2 linked regions of the Pelodiscus sinensis genome follow. The main gene of each other region encodes a partner of the protein of the gene in region 2 in a complex. Links are inferred from orthologs where the notes say so. Each region holds a gene or a part of one and is shown on either strand. Other genes may lie near its edges.

Region 1 (7,595 bases), on a different chromosome or scaffold from region 2:
CAGTCCCTGGGTTACGTACAAGATAGGGACTGTAGGTTTGTTCTTAAGTTGAATTTGTATGTAAGTCGGAACTGGTACATATTGTAGGGGAAACTCTAGCCAAACATTTCTCCAGAGCTCAGTTTTATTCTCCCACACCTCACTTCCCTCAGTCCTTTATTCTCAAGCTGAGGTGTCTGCTGAGAAAAGCCACTCCATGTCTCCCTGGTCTGCTGGAGGGGGGGCGCTAGCTTCGCGTCTCCCTGGTCTGCTGGGGGTAAGCAGCTAGTGCGGGTTTGCCTCACCCCGTTTGTAAGTAGGGATCCGATGTAAGTCGGATCCATGTAACCCGGGGACTGCCTGTATATAATGCAATGGATCAGACGCTCCATCCTTCCATTAACTTATGTCACTTCCTCCACAGGGTCCTACCCGGTGACGGGTTTCCAAGAGAAAGTGGCTGCTGAACTGTTTGACAGTCACTGTCATCAGTGCAAAGACATGAATCTTGGACGGTGCCCTCGAAATAGCAAGACTCAAGCTCGTCCGCACTTAGGTATTTCAATGATAGGCACTATAGAAAAGACCAAGGTATGGATCCTGAATTCTTCAGCAGAGGCCCTTCCTAATGAAAACATCTGCTCTCTGAGGGTACGTCTACACGGCAGTGTTATTTCAGAATAACTGACATTGTTTGGAAATAACAAAGTGTGCATCTACACAGCAAACCATTATTTCAAAATAACTTCAAGCTGGAGGACTTCTTACTCCGACTCCTGCAACCTGCATTTCACGAGGCGTAAGGGAAGTTGAAGTAAGAGTGGTTTTCCTTCAACTTCCTGCAGTGTAGACAGCACCTAAAGCCGAAGTAAGCTATTTTAACTTCAGTTACACAATTGACGTAACTGAAGTTGCGTAGCTTAATTCAACTTTTGCCCTGCTGTGTAGACATACCCAGAGATTCTCACACCACAAACTACCAGCTACAACAGACCTGTGTTGATCCCTGCAGATGTGTTTGGGAGTAGTGGGGAGGAAGCATGATTCAGAGACAGGAAGACCCAAGTCCACTAAGCAAAGGACCTTACAGAAGACTTGGACTGTGATTCTAGCCTATGCTATGTCAGTCCTTATACTGCACTTATCAATCTGAGCCTCTTCCAGTAGCGCAGGGGTGGCCAACCTGTGGCTTTTCTGAAGTTCATATGCGGCTCCTTGCTCAGGCACTGACTCTGGGGCTGCAGCAGCTGGTGCCAACTTTCCAGTGCTCAACTCCTGGCTCCACCTCCTCCTCCAAGCATATTGCACCCTCGCTCCTTCCCTTCCCCACAGAGCCTCCTGAGAGCCATGAAACAGCTGATTGCAGTAGGCAGGAGGCGCGGGGAAGGAAGAGGAAGCACTGATTGGTGGGGCTGTTGGTGAGCAAAAGATACTGAAGACGGGAGAGAAGGCACCTGATGGAGACTGCTGACAAATGACTGTAGCTCTTTGGCGATGTACATTGGTAAATGGTGGCACCTTCTCAGGCTCGGACTGGCCACATCTGCAGTAGCGCATTCAGCAGTGTGACTACATATCTGTCACTGGTGTTCCCTGTAAGCTGAGTGCGTGGGCAGACACCCAAGAGCGATTCAGGTGCCACCCAAAGATTAGGAGAGCACCCACGGTATCCACAGCCAGCATGCATTTCTACTGCTGGTGCACATCCACACATACCTTGGTGCACATAGTAAAAGTTATTCCACACATGGATGGAAAAAATTAAGAGAGGCCATTGTCACATGTGGTTTGTTTTCTCATCCTCTCCCCAAGAAGAGATGAATGTGCAGGGAAATGACTTGTTTTGCTATGTTGAGATGTTTTTAATTTACATATATATCTTCCTCTCTATTTATGTTAGAGAAGACAAGGTCAAAGAAATGCACTTCCCACTTGAAGCAGAAGGTGTCAACTCCTCTGGTGATGCCTAAAGTTAATTGTAGATAGGGGTCAATCAGGACTTCTGATGGTTGCCTTAGTTATGTATTTACATGTACCTTTGTAATGGTTTTAAATGATCTGACTGGAACCCACCCTGCCATGTGCACAGCTGGCTTATGGAAATGCATGTTCTCATTTCCACTCCACACCTTTTCTACTTGTTACACTCACTTGTTGTGTCTTGTCTTAAACAAGACTGTAATGTCTTCAGGGCAGGCTCTGTGTTTCGCTGTGTGTCTCTACAGTGCCTAGCACAGCAAGAGTCCCTGTTGGAGGGGCATCGGGACACGATAAAATGATTAGTTATTATTAGAGGGATGCTACAAGTTTTATACTAGGCATCAAACTGTCCCTAGTTCTTTCACACCTGACCCAAGATTAAACTCGTTCTGGTTCAACAGTGTCTGCTTGAGAGATTCATGCTTTAAAAAAGAAGACATCTTTGCTCTACTGCAGCTTTACTGCCAGGATGTTTTTATTTGTTACTAAGTCTAGAGGGGTAGCTGTGTTAGTCTGTAACTTTGAAAAATGAGTGGCACCTTAGAGACTAATAAAATATATAGATGGTATCATGAGCTTTCCTGGACACAACCCACTTCTTTGGTGAATTTGTTACTGTTAATACATGCTTGTTTTCTAATTTGCATTTAATACATGCTGGCTCACATTGTTAAATCCGGGCACTTTTTTTTTTTTTTTTTTGAAGACTTAATCAAGCAGTTGATAGCTGCCATTAGCATTTGTTGCCTTCCACACTGAAAAATACTGTGCAAAGATCTGTTTTAAAAGATTTTTAAGCTTTTGTTTTGGCTTTTTGGGGGGGGAGGGGTTTTTTGTTGTTGTGGTTTTTTGGGGTTTTTTTTTGCAAACATCTGTTACTATCTGCACATTTGCAAAGGCAACTGCATATTTAGCATGTTCACAGCTCTGGGACTGCAGTAATTAATTGCCTGTCTGGCCCACAGAGCTTTGCATTCATTTACTTTCTATTTAAAAAAAAAAGTAAAGGCGGTAATGATATCTAGGGAAATAGTTCCGTGTAGGCTTATTCCAAGCATGCCCAAAGTCCCTCTTTGGTTCTGAATTTGGTGGGCCAGCCTCTCCATAGTATCATAACTTTGATTTCTACATGTTCCAACATCAAATGAGGGATCCAGGTCAGGACTAGAACAGGTTCCTAAACATCTGGGTGTTCCTGTTGTGTGTAATTTCTTCATCACACTGTTCCCATTGAAATCAATGGCAAAATTCTAACTCCATAGGGGACAGCTTTGGTTGCCTAATGAGTTGTGTGACATGTACAATATGTGCAGTTTGAGTTAGGACACAGGCATCCCTCTCCTGCCTGATAAAACTGACAGCAGCAGCTCACAAACTATTTAATCCCAATTTTCCTTACACCTTTCAATGGATTCTCTCCTCTTATTTATTCCCCACTCCTGGGACATAACAGATCTGCCTTGCTATGTCATTTTTATGATTCTATCCTCCAGCACAATGCACTGGGAAGCCGTTTCCCCTTTCTCTCCTGGCTGCACTCCTTCATTTTGTACTGCTCTCTTCTCTTTTCCCAGCTAGGGAAAGGTGAAAAGAGAAAATCCACTTGCCCCAGCATGTTGGGGTTGATTTGCTTTACCCAATACCTTATCTACAATGCATGCATACATTAGCAGCGCTAGACAGTCCTTTCTGTGCTCCCTCCCGCTCTGTGTGTGTTAAGAGAAGTCCATGTAGACGGATTGCAACTAGGTGGTGTGCATGTGCGCGCACACACTGTGGCCGTGTCCAGACTCAGGGGTTTTTTCGGGAAAAGTAGCCTTTTCCCGAAAAAACTTCCCCTGCGTCCAGACTCAAGCCGCGTTCTTTCGAAATTATTTCGAAAGAACGCGGCTTTTCTTTCGATGGCGGTAAACCTCAATTTACGAGGAAGAACGCCTTCTTTCGAAAGTCCCTCTTTCGAAAGAAGGCGTTCTTCAATGTAAAGAGGCCGTCTTCGAAAGAGAGCATCCAGACTCGCTGGGTGCTCTCTTTCGAAAAAGCGGATTTCTCTTTCGAAAGATCCGCCGGCAGTCTAGACGCGATCTTTTGAAAGAGGCTCTTTCGAAAGAAGCCTGCAGTCTAGACATAGCCTGTGTGTATGTTATCTGATTCGAATTCCCCCACGCCCTGGAAATAGCCATTTCCAAATCTCTTTCCCCCCCCCTGTCAGACGGTTCAGCTGCAGGTGGACAGTCCTAACTCTTGCAGGGCAGGACTGGAAAGCGGCCAAGTCTAAACCCGCCAGGAATGAACCCTGGGAGGGCAGGGTCTTGTGCGCTCACTGTCCCCGTTCCGCTCGCCTGCACCCTCGCTCCCTGCCCATGGGGGCTGCTGGCTCTTCTGCTGCCCCCAGATACAGCCCCGCTTCTGCTGGGGCGCCCAGCCTCTCCTCTCCCCCCCTCCTCCTCCTCGCCGCGCACCGAGCCGCCTGCTTTCCACACACTCCCCCCCTTCCGCATGCTAACTAACCTCCTCACACCAGCACATGGAGCCCTCGCCGCGACGGGAAGGGAGGGGGGGGGCCGTGCCTGCCTGTCTATCTGCTTCGCTTTATCTCCCCGGCTGAGTGAGCTGCTTGGGAAGCCACTTCCCTTTCTCACCCTGCCCCGGCTCCGCCAGCCTCGCGCAGACATGCCGCTGCAGGGGGAGATGCTGCCCGCCCTGTCCCGCTGCTGAAGAGAGGGGCGAGCTCTTCACCCTACCGGGGGCGCTTTGGGAAGGGAGGGGGGGTTGCCCTTTTGCGGATAATCCCACCCTCTCCCCCCTCCCGGGCCTGGGAGCGTCCGTCTGCCCCTCCCTCCCACTGACACCCCCCCCCGCGGGCTGGAGAGGCTCATGCAGTCGATAAGGTAAGCCCCGGAGCCCGGGGAGGTTGGGGGAAAAGGGGTGGGGGGGGGGAACAAGGCATCAACCCCCGGGGTCTGTTCCCTGCAACCCAGGGTCACCCTGCGTTGAACCGTTGCTTGCTTCCTAACCTGCTTGCAGCTCTTGGGGTTGCACCCTGGACTCTGTTTCCGGCATGCTCCCCCCCCCCCTTCCCTAATTGCTTTTTGATTTGCTTCCTAGCCAGGTGCTCTGCCTGCCTTGGGACCTGTTGAGAATCAGTGGCCTTCCCTTGGGGTCCTCCGTCTAGTTTCTCAACCCGTTTTTAAAAGGCTGGCTCTGGGCTCTTTGCTTCTTCTTCCTTGCATGCTCTATGGATGTAGATAGCTAGATACGAGTCTCCCTCCTCCCCCCTCCCTCCCATTTTTTTTTCTCCGGGTTGCCATCAGACATGAAGCGTCCTTGTGCCAACTTCTTCCGAGCTAAACGAAAAAGTGAATTTAATTGCAAAACATTGATTAAAGAAACCCTGAAACATTTTGGAATGCCCCCCCCCTCCTTCCCGGTGCTTAGCTTGCAACCAGGTCATCGTTACTGCAAACCAGAGAAGGATCAATATGCATAGCCGTGTTCCTATCCCCGACTATAATGCTTTAAAAATACAGCATGTTTCAAGAGCTGGCCAGTGTTTGACAGATGCCCAGGCTAGGCAGATACTGTGGGGATGAGAACCAAGTAAGTACCGAGAGAGAGATGGATAGCTATGTGGGCTAAAGCAACCATTGTAGTCATCTCAGAGGGCTAGATTCTGCTCCCTTTCCTCCTGGTAAGTAATGCCTTACTGGATAAAAAGGCCCACTTGATTTCAGTGGGCAAAAAGGCATTGATCAATGTCAGGATGGCAGAATATGGCCTTGAGTTAGGACATTTTAGAACCGCCAATGAGGTTGCAAAACAGCCTCTTTAAGTGTTGTTTTCATTCTGGGATTCGCATGTTGTCATAGGTCTTCAAGGAAATCATGGTGCGTTTGCAAGACAGGTGCTTTTTGTTGTGGTGGTGGTTCTGAGGCAGTGTGGTGTTGTTTTGATGTGATTCTTGATTGCTGCCTGTTGGAGTAATTGTGTTGCAATTGCTCAGAGGTAGAATCAATTTCCCCAAATTGAGATTTTAATGGGAGCGTGCAGGCTGATGCTATGTCATGTGGCTTAAGGCAGCGCTGGATTGCATTTATTTTATAAATTGGCTATTTTGGCAAACTGTTTAGGGATAACAGCGCCACCTACTGGAAAGAAACGAGCTTCGGGCTCTATTTAACCCTGGGAGAGCGCACATGTGCTGATCCCTGCTAGAAAAATACAGTCTCAATCCAATTTCATTCTCTGTTAGGATGGGGAGTATAACGGGTATGGGAAATTCAGAAGGATAGGTTAATTGGGATTTTTACTAGACTCGTTTTTTGTAATGATTTATCTTCCCTGAAGGTATCCAGGCCATTTAAAAAAATACCTAGTGACATTTACTAGACTGTCCTTGGCCCTTTCCTAAGAAAGTAGAGATGGCATGGTGGGGTGGGTCATATTTCTAGGCATCATCTTCAGGAATCCACACTAAAAGAACCAAGTGGGGAGGGTACGCTGTTTCCATGAGAAATCAGAGGACACTTTAAAGAGGATCTCCTGCAGGCTCCTCCTTGCTCTGGGACACTCTTAAACTCCTGTGTTTGCCAGCCACAGTATATTGGTGATCTAGCCTTCCAAATACTTATTTCCATCCAGCTGTTCCACAGAAAGTCCTGTTACCTTTTAATGACACATCTAGGAGATAAACTTAGACATCCTGTTTGGATGTGGAGAGGAGGGTTAGAAAAATATATTTGCAATATCTAGAGACAAAAGTAGATTTTAGAATATTGCCCAGTTATACTAAATTGATTCTCTCCGTTGTGACAGAAAATCAAAAGGGATTGAAAATTGGGTCTATTTATTTTCTGGCAGTCAGAAGTTAACCAGATTTGCTACTCAGCCCACACGTTTCACCAACAGTCGTGAAACGTTCTTCTAGACATGACCAGCTATTCGCTCAATTGTTTATTAAAGGTTTGCTCAGTTGTGAAGTAGATGCAATAGGAATGTTGTCTGGGATTTACTCAGAGTAGAAGATGGGCATAAAGGCCCAGCTCCCTGCAGAGAACTAAATATACAGAAGAATTCCAGCCAACTTTTTAAACACTTCAGAACAAGGAAAGATTATATTATGCAATATGTGAGATTCAAGCCTAGCCCCACAATATTGTGCAAACAAATTGGGGGGAAGGGAGTTGAATGTCCCCTGTCAAATAAAGGGGTAAGGTAACATTTGATTGGACCAACTCGGTGAAAGAGACAAACTGCTGAATTTACACAGGACTTGTAAACTTCAAAGCTCATCTCTTTCACCAACAGAAGTTAGTCCAATAAAAGATATATCTCGCCCACCTTGTCTCTCTAAAACAGGGAGACCAACACAGCTATAACTACACTGCAAACAACCTGTCAAACATGTTGACATGATAAGCTTTATTCTATTGAGAGTATCCAGGCTCATTTGCTTTCTTTTGTGGGTGGGAATGAAGGATTTTTTCACACATTCCTCCTCCCTGTCTAGCTTGATCACTACTGCATTAGGAACTGACAGCCCATTATACTGGTACAAGTTGTTCTACATGATCATATCATGTAGCTGTCCCTACCAAAATATCTTTACTCTCCTCATGAGGTTTTGAAAAAGCTTAATT
Region 2 (7,827 bases):
CAGTTGCCTTGGGCCCTGCACATTCAGAGTCCCCGCGCATTCAGGGCCCTGTGCTGACCAGCTCCCGGCCCTGCCCACCAAGACGCTCACTGGCTGCCCTGACTAGGAGCTGCGCAGCCGTGCAGCTCAGCCAAACACAGCCTGCTGCCTTGGGTCCCGTGAACTCTTTGGCTGGGCCTGCCGTTGTATTGATTGCAACTTCCGCTGGGCCCCTCATCTTTTCCTTTCCTGGTTCCTGGGGCTCCCATGCAGTGATCCATCCCTGCTCAAGGAAACTCGTAAGCACGGGCCTAATTTTAGGCAAGTGTGAAAGTCCCATTGATTTCCGATTCCCACTCCGATGTAGAAGTCATGTGATGGCATAAGGGGGACTAAGTAGTCAGGGCTAGATTTCATGTGGGAGCAATTGGGGGGGGGTAATAAGGAACTTCCCCTTCCACAGAACAAACAACTAGCAAGAGAGAGTCCCTGCTCCAAAGTCCCTTCAGGATCTGAAACAAAATACAGGACGATGTAGCACTTTAAAGACTAACAAGATGGTTTATAAGGTGATGAGCTTTCGTGGGCCAGACCCACTTCCTCAGATCAAATAGTGGAAGCAAATTGTCACAACCATATATACCAAAGGATACAATTAAAAAAAATGAACACATATGAAAAGGACAAATCACATTTCAGAACAGAAGAGGAATGGGGCAGGGGAGGGGAGGAGGTAAATGTCTAACCATCTTGTTAGTCTTTAAAGTGCTACATAGTCCTGTATTTTGTTTCAGCTACACCAGACTAACACGGCTACATTTCTATCACTATTCTTCAGGATCTGGGCTTTCCATTCTGAACATAAAAGAGGCAAAGGATGGAAGGGGAAACCTCTCTTCATTTACTCCAAAATATCCAAGGCTTTTATGGCCTTAACATCAGAAGGATCCGTGGGCCTATTTATATTTACAATCAGAATGGCAGCAAACCTCTTGATGTTAAATCAGATCAGAATTTATCCAGGCCTTTGGAAGAAATGTAGACGCATTTCTCCCTCAGACGGTTCCTCATCCTACTATAGTCACCATAGGTAGCATCCAGTACAACCCATGCTCCAGGCATAGAGATGAAATATTAAGGCAAGAAATGGCTTTTCCCTGGTGTGGTCCACTGCAGAATGAACTGGAAGGGCAATTAGCCACCAAAGTGCTCATTTAATGTCAGTGATGTGTAAACTCTATTGCCATTGTTAGTTTAGTGCTGATTTACACAACTGGAGTGCCCTGACGTCACACTGCTTGCACCTTAAATTCAGGCTAACGAGCTCCAGGAAGTCATAAAATTGAACCTGATCTGGGAGTTCCTAAGCTATCACCCTTTCTAAGGCTTGAATTTCAGCTTGGGCTATCACTCTTCTCCATAGGTGCAGGGTTTTGCACCTGGCTTCTCCATGCCCAGGGGCCGGCCCTGCTTCCCACCCACTGCCGGTTCTGCCACCCCCAGGGTCCCTCCCACCTGGCATCCCCGTGGGTTCTGCAGCTTGCCATTTCTGTGGTCCAGGCCACTGGCCCCAGAAAATCTGCTGCTGCTCAGCATCCCACTCCCAACCCAGGGCTCCGCAGCCACCTTTAGCTGTGGCTAGGTTGCCAACTCTCCTGGACCGGATACACTGGACACCATTTGTGGTAATAGCACCCAGGCTGTCCGTGAGAGTTGGCAATCCTCGGTGTGACCTCAGGCTGGAAAAGTGAGAGGTGTGAACAGGTGTGTGTGTGTGGGGGGTGCAGCTTAGCACCCCCACCTTAAAAATAGGTCCAGCACCACAGCTCCTCCCCACACCCACATCTCAGATTTGGCTTAAAGCCTTTCCAAAGCAACAAAACTAAAACAAAATAGGTCATTCTTTTGCCAGGGTAAGGGTGTCTCCGTGGGGAATTGCACCAGTGCGACGTCATTGAAATGATCACCTTAGATTATAGAGATGCAACTTTTCTACTAAACTGCAAAAAGAGCCAATCAAAATGGTGGAAATGACCAGGGAACTGTCTCCTGTTGCTTTAAATTCTCCACATGTTGCTTTACTCTGTCAGTACCATCAGCCCTTTGAAAAGGCCTTGCACCCCAGTGTGGTGCTCTGAGGAAGGAAAGTGACCAGGGATTCCAGGCCGTTCAAGTGAGAATCTGTGCTAGGATCTGGACAATTGATTCTTTGTGTCATCGTTTCTATTGCATTAGTGTCTACAGGCATCAACTCTGACCAGGGCCCTATGGTGCAAGGCACTGTATATATATAAAAAAAGGGACTGCAAGAAGGACAAAGAATGAGGGAAAGAAAGTTTTAATATCCCTATTCCACAGGGACCCGTGATGCAGAGGGATTAAGGCCCAGAAGATAGGAGCCTAAATTCTAGCCCACTGTCACACGAGGAGTTTGGGGCAGATACGGAAACTGAAGCCAGTGAGTTAACCATCTTCTTTCTGTTCATCCGAGACACATCACCCTTCCTGAATCCATCCACCTTGGCATCAGAGCCTGCTCCTTCATCCCTCTCATGCTCTAAACTCATCTCCGAAGAAAAGCTTCGGCAACCTGGAGGAGCTGAGGCTGCCAACTGCCACATCGAAGGCTTTGACACTGTCACACTCCAACACCTGCGATAGCATGGACTGGTGCCGGTCGCGAAGATGGGCAGGTAAGCTGCTAAGCCTACAGACTGGTGCCCTGCTTCTGCTGAGTGGGACACAGAAGAGAATTCAATGGTAAAGCCAGCCCCAAAAAGGGGTTTCAAATGGGGATTTGCACATCCAGAGAGCTCTGACACATTTCCACCACTGGAGGGCAGCCATATCTTAAAAACATCCAGGGACTCAGCAAAGCAGCGCTGAACTCCCAAGGAGGAGGGGGCTGAACCTAGAAAGTCAAATGCATTTAAAATGATGCTTCCCCAAGGATAAAAGGCATTTTCTCAGGAATCTGACACGTTTCTTTCAATTGGGGCAGCCCATGATGATTTCCAGCTCCCCATGCTACTTTTGGGCTGTGACATGGAAGGTGTGAGTGGCAAATGTTATAGCAGGGAGCTTCACATCCCTTCTGCCACTGCTTATCAAACTGGATGCTGGAGTTTAACAAAGAGGGGGTTATGTCACCCTGCGTCCCAAATCTCTGCTCATGCCTAAAGACGCAGTGTCATAAAAGTGGCCTTTCACACAGTGTCCTTTGAAGGAATAAAATAGTCAAGGTGCTTTTGGGAGAAAGAACAGATTTCTGGGGATGCTCCCCCTGCAAAAAAGAGCCACAATGAACTTGATAGAACCATATATGAGCTTAAAAGAACCCATATATTCTTGATTGTAAAGTCATGCCTCTGAGATCTTTTGAATATGAAAGGTTGTGTGGCTGAGAGATACCACAAGCAAGAGATATTAAGCTCCTTCATTTCTGGGGTGCAGATGGGTACTCAACCTAGTTTTTCTTGGTGGCGTGATAACAGCATTTAGTTTTCCTCTCCAAGAACTAAACACACCCACTGGAATCGAAACAGGTTTTTGTTTGTTTGTTTGTTTTTAAAAGAGAGAAATGAGTTTTTTGTGATCTGTGCAAAATTCAAACAATAGTTGAGGTTTGCTCTAGATTTGCCCAGGGCTATTATATTGCGTTGACCGTCCTAACGTTAGACAGAGTACACTTAGACACTGCAGGTTTAGATTAACCATTCTGTTGCTTTGTATAAGTCTTTGATCCATATCAGCTGCAATGGGCCTAAAACTATTTACACCCAGGACCTGGGTGTAATGTTGATGTCATTAATTGCAAATGCTTTGTGTGCCTCTGCTGAAAATCAGGTGTGTGGGGATTTTTAAAACTTTTTTTTCTACTGGCCTAGATTATTTGAAAACACTCCAATTCTTCCAAAACCTGCTTTGACCTTCACACCTTAGAAGTCAGCAAACACTGAAATCCCACAGCACGAAACTAATCCGATTTGTATAAGCAGCGCACGAGACTTATTTCACTCTTCTTTTACTGAGGGGTCATTGTTCAGTATCCATCTCTGACTTTCCTCTGCGTTTCCACGTGTAGGCGCAGACTCCAGCTAAAAAGTTCCTAAGTCCACAGTTTTAGCCCATGCCTGGTTTGATCCCAGGTCTCGTATTGTCTAAGGACGGCGAGACGACAAAAGTCCCAACAGGGCTCTAGCTCTTACGCCTCGGAAGAACCACAACAATCCTCGGGACTAGATTTTCTTATTACACGTGAAGCTAACACTAACAGCTACCGGCTGCCAGCCTGCTCCAACTGCTCCTGGAGCTTCCCCTCGTTGGCTCCTGATTTGCAAAAACCACGCTGCACATTGCATGTCGCCCATGGGCCTGACTAGCTCCCGTCCAGCCTGGCACGGCCCCAGGAGAGGCGATAGGAGACCGCGACAGGGGGACATGTCGATGGGAGGAGAAGCAGGTGGAGGGGGAAACCATGGATCATTCTTTTCCAGTGTGGGAACTGGGGACACCCCCCCTGGCCAAATTCACTACCCGGCTCCTGGATCGTCGCAGGTGATGGGAGTTGCCTGGGACACAGTCAACCTTCTGCCTCGGAGGGAAGGCACGTGGAGGGAGATGCGAGTGGCGCTGCTGTCCCTGCTTCCTCCCAGAGGTTCGGCCATCAAGCGAGGCGAGGGGGGAAGCAGGAGCCGCGCACACACTCCTCCGCGGCGGCGGCGTCGCCTTTAAAAGCAGCGAGCGCGGCTCGCGGCCGCTCTCCCGGCGGCGCGCTCGCTGATTGGCCAGGCGCCTCCAGCCCCCGGGGCCGTGACATCAGCAGCGCCACAAAAAGCCAAGGAGGCTTCCAAGGACCTCGAGCAAGTGGCACCAGAAGCGCGCGGGCCGGGCACCCCGCGGGAGGACGCAGCGGCCGGAGAAGGCAGCCCCCCCCCCTCCTCCCCCGTTGCAAAGCGCCTGCTGCTGCCGGGGCCGCAGGGAAGGAAGAGCCCGGGCGCTGCGGGACTAGCCTGGCTGCGGATGCTCGGGGCGTGTTTTTTCCACGGAGCGGCATAGAGCGCGCGCCCCCGCGCGGCGTGGCGAGGCCTCTCCCCCCAGGGATGTCTCCGCGGCGGGCGGCCGCCGCCGTCCGGGGAGCCGCGGCGGAGTGACAGCCCGGGAGGGATGCCGCAGCCAGGCGCCGCCCAGCGAGCCCCCCCTGCAAGGCACCGAGCCCCGGCGGGTCGCGGCCGGCCGGGTCCGCGCGGCATGAGTCCCCGGAGAAGCCATGGGCTGCGGCGGCGGGGCTAGAGCGCAGCCCGGGATCCGCGCAGCCGAGGGACTTGCCCTCTCGCTACTGAGCCTCGCCCGGAGAAGTAACTTCCCGAGCCCCGCACGCACCGGATACAAGCCCCCGCCCGGCTGGGCACCCCCTGGCTCTGCCCACTTCTATGTGGAGCCCGCGTCCATGGCCGGCCCCCAGCGCGCTGCTTAGGCGCTCGGCGGGCTCCTAAAGGTAAGAGCGCAGGGCGGCCGGGCGCACCTGTCCCGCGCCTCCCCTCCCCACGCGCCGTTCACACGGGCGGCTTCCTCCACTCCGCTTCGAACGCCGCGCGCATGGAACCTGTTCTGCGTGTGAACGCGCCACGGGATCCGCCCGGGGAGCGCGGGGAACCTCTTTCTAGAGGTGCGGTGCTGGCCGTCCTGGGAGCCCCCACCTCCTTTGTCTTGCACCCCCCCAACCACCCTAGGTGCTGGAAGTAGGGGTGCAGAGGGGTACTGCGGCACCCTGGCTTGGAGTGGCTGCCATTCTAGACGGGCTGTCCAGGTGGGTTCAACCGCCCCCAGCAAAAACTGCCCCAGCACCTCTGCCAGACACCCCCTGAAGCCAGCCAACACCTGGACAGCTGGGCATGGCACTCGGCTCCTACCTGGCCATGGAGCTGGCCAGCCCGGCTCCTGGCCGCTGACAAGCGGCCGTATCTCTGGCCACGCTATGGTCCGCTGCGGGCTAGGCTCTTCTGTGCAAGGGGGCTTTGGATCAGGCGTGCAATCCGGAGTCACTACGGGGGGAAGCGGCTCCAGGTGCAACAGAGCACGGGGTACAGCGGCTCGCTGCCAGATGAGGTTCCACGCCCCCTAGCCTCCCTCGGGGGGGGGGGGGGGAGCCGGATCGGGCCCCCCCCCCGCTCGGGATCGGGCCCCCGGGACGGGCTTGCCCTGATTTCCCACCCTCCCTGTCTGCGCAGGTTGACCATGGTGGCCGCCACCCGCTCCTTGCTGGCGCTGCTGCTCTACCAGGTGCTGCTGGGCGGCTCGGCCGGCCTCATCCCGGAGGTGGGCCGGCGGCGCTTCAGCGACTCGGGCCGCGCCGCCCCGCCGCCCTCGGAGGACCTGCTGAGCGAGTTCGAGCTGCGCCTGCTCAACATGTTCGGGCTGAAGCGGCGGCCGAGCCCCAGCAAGAGCGCCGTCATCCCGCCCTACATGCTGGACCTCTACCGCCTGCACGCGGGCCAGGCCGCCCTGGGCTCCCCGCTGGAGAGAGCCGCCAGCCGCGCCAACACGGTCCGCAGCTTCCACCACGAAGGTACGGCCGGGGGGCTGGCTCTGCGCTGCCCCCTGCAGGCTGCGCCCGCGGCTCTTGGGGAGCTCTCCCGGCGGGGTCCGCTTCCCCAGGAGGGGTCGGAGGATAGGTGGGCACGGGGGGAGTGTGTGAGAGCTGGCGTCGCTTCCTAGGGAGCCTAAGCGTGGGCTCCGTTGTTGTGGAGTAGTGGGTGTATGAACTAGTGTGGGGGCGAGCAGGGTGCGGGTGTGTACCATCAGCACTGGACCCAAAAGGGGGAGGAAGGATAGAAGCGGGGAGGGGGAAATCTTTCCAAATAGTTTGGAAACTTCTGTTTCATTTCTCTTGTGAGTTTCTCTGTCTTGTTTTACAAGCTGGGCATCAAAACAGGCTCCCTCCCCCCCCCCCCCCCCTCGAATGTCCCCAGGCATTTATTCTGAGCATCTCCTCCCTTTCTCTCTCCTCCTCACCTTCTTCATCCCATGTGGCATTTGCCCCTCTTGATTTTTACAGCTTGGGTTCCAATTAAGCATTCCCACCCAGGGCTTTCAAAGATAAAAGCTAAATACCAGAAAAGTCTCCTTAGTTTACAGTTGGTCTGGGTTAGTTTTGGGAAGGTTTCTAATCCCTGGGAGAGATCAATGCAACAATCAGTAGTATTGTTTGCACAATGACTTTCTTGTCTTGGATTTGAATCTAGGGCAGATTTAGTGTAGATCTAAAGGTAAGCCTTCAAAAACCAGGTTGATAAAAGCATTGCCACAGCTGGTCATTGGACTTCATGCGCACCTGAGCCTTCAGATAACATGGTCACCTCTTAATTAAGATGCTGAATGCACTTTAAAAGTAGATTAAAATGGGTACTCACAAGAGCTGGCGTGTCTGTGGCGTAAAGTAAAGCTATTGAGTTGTTCAAACTTTTAGTACCCATCATATTCTAGTTTTAAGTGTGCACATAAATCCATTTGTTGTGAGCTTTCCACGTTCTGTGAGTTTGAATCTAATGAACTACATCAGTACTATAAAGCTGGAACCCTACATATCAGTTAAAATGTAACTAGTTTTGGTAACTGACACATTTTGCTGCCTTTTTCGTGCTTGGTAAATGCATACAGAAATGATGATCTTGACCTTCTGGACATGATTTTTTTTTAAATTTATTTTTGCAGTTAATTGGTTTAGCAGTTATATGTCTAGGGACTAACTTAAATTTGCAGCTACTAACTGGGGTAGCTAATCTGATACAATAGACTTGTAGAGCGAGTAGTTTTCATGTTGCTCATCTGCTTGTCACAAATAAAAGT

The links. The genes of interacting proteins can lie anywhere in the genome.
Region 1: the proteins of BMP2 (region 2) and RGMA are in contact, whole or in part, in a crystal structure (PDB 4UHY), measured with the Homo sapiens proteins. The link is inferred for Pelodiscus sinensis from reciprocal best matches to the Homo sapiens genes BMP2 and RGMA. Residues at the interface, in NP_001191.1 of Homo sapiens: Val308, Gly309, Trp310, Asp312, Trp313, Met371, Tyr373, Leu374, Asp375, Glu376, Lys383, Tyr385, Met388; in NP_064596.2 of Homo sapiens: Arg91, Arg94, Gly95, Leu97, His100, Ser101, His104.

Annotation. Positions count from the first base shown.
Region 1 is NC_134724.1:12,368,231-12,375,825, forward strand, and holds the start of RGMA (repulsive guidance molecule A), read left to right. Parts: upstream 1-4,594; 5' UTR 4,595-4,833; coding exon 4,834-4,847; intron 4,848-7,595.
Region 2 is NC_134713.1:192,410,177-192,418,003, reverse strand, and holds the start of BMP2 (bone morphogenetic protein 2), read left to right. Parts: upstream 1-4,808; 5' UTR 4,809-5,476; intron 5,477-6,209; 5' UTR 6,210-6,216; coding exon 6,217-6,547; intron 6,548-7,827. UniProt on the Homo sapiens protein: Growth factor of the TGF-beta superfamily that plays essential roles in many developmental processes, including cardiogenesis, neurogenesis, and osteogenesis. Induces cartilage and bone formation.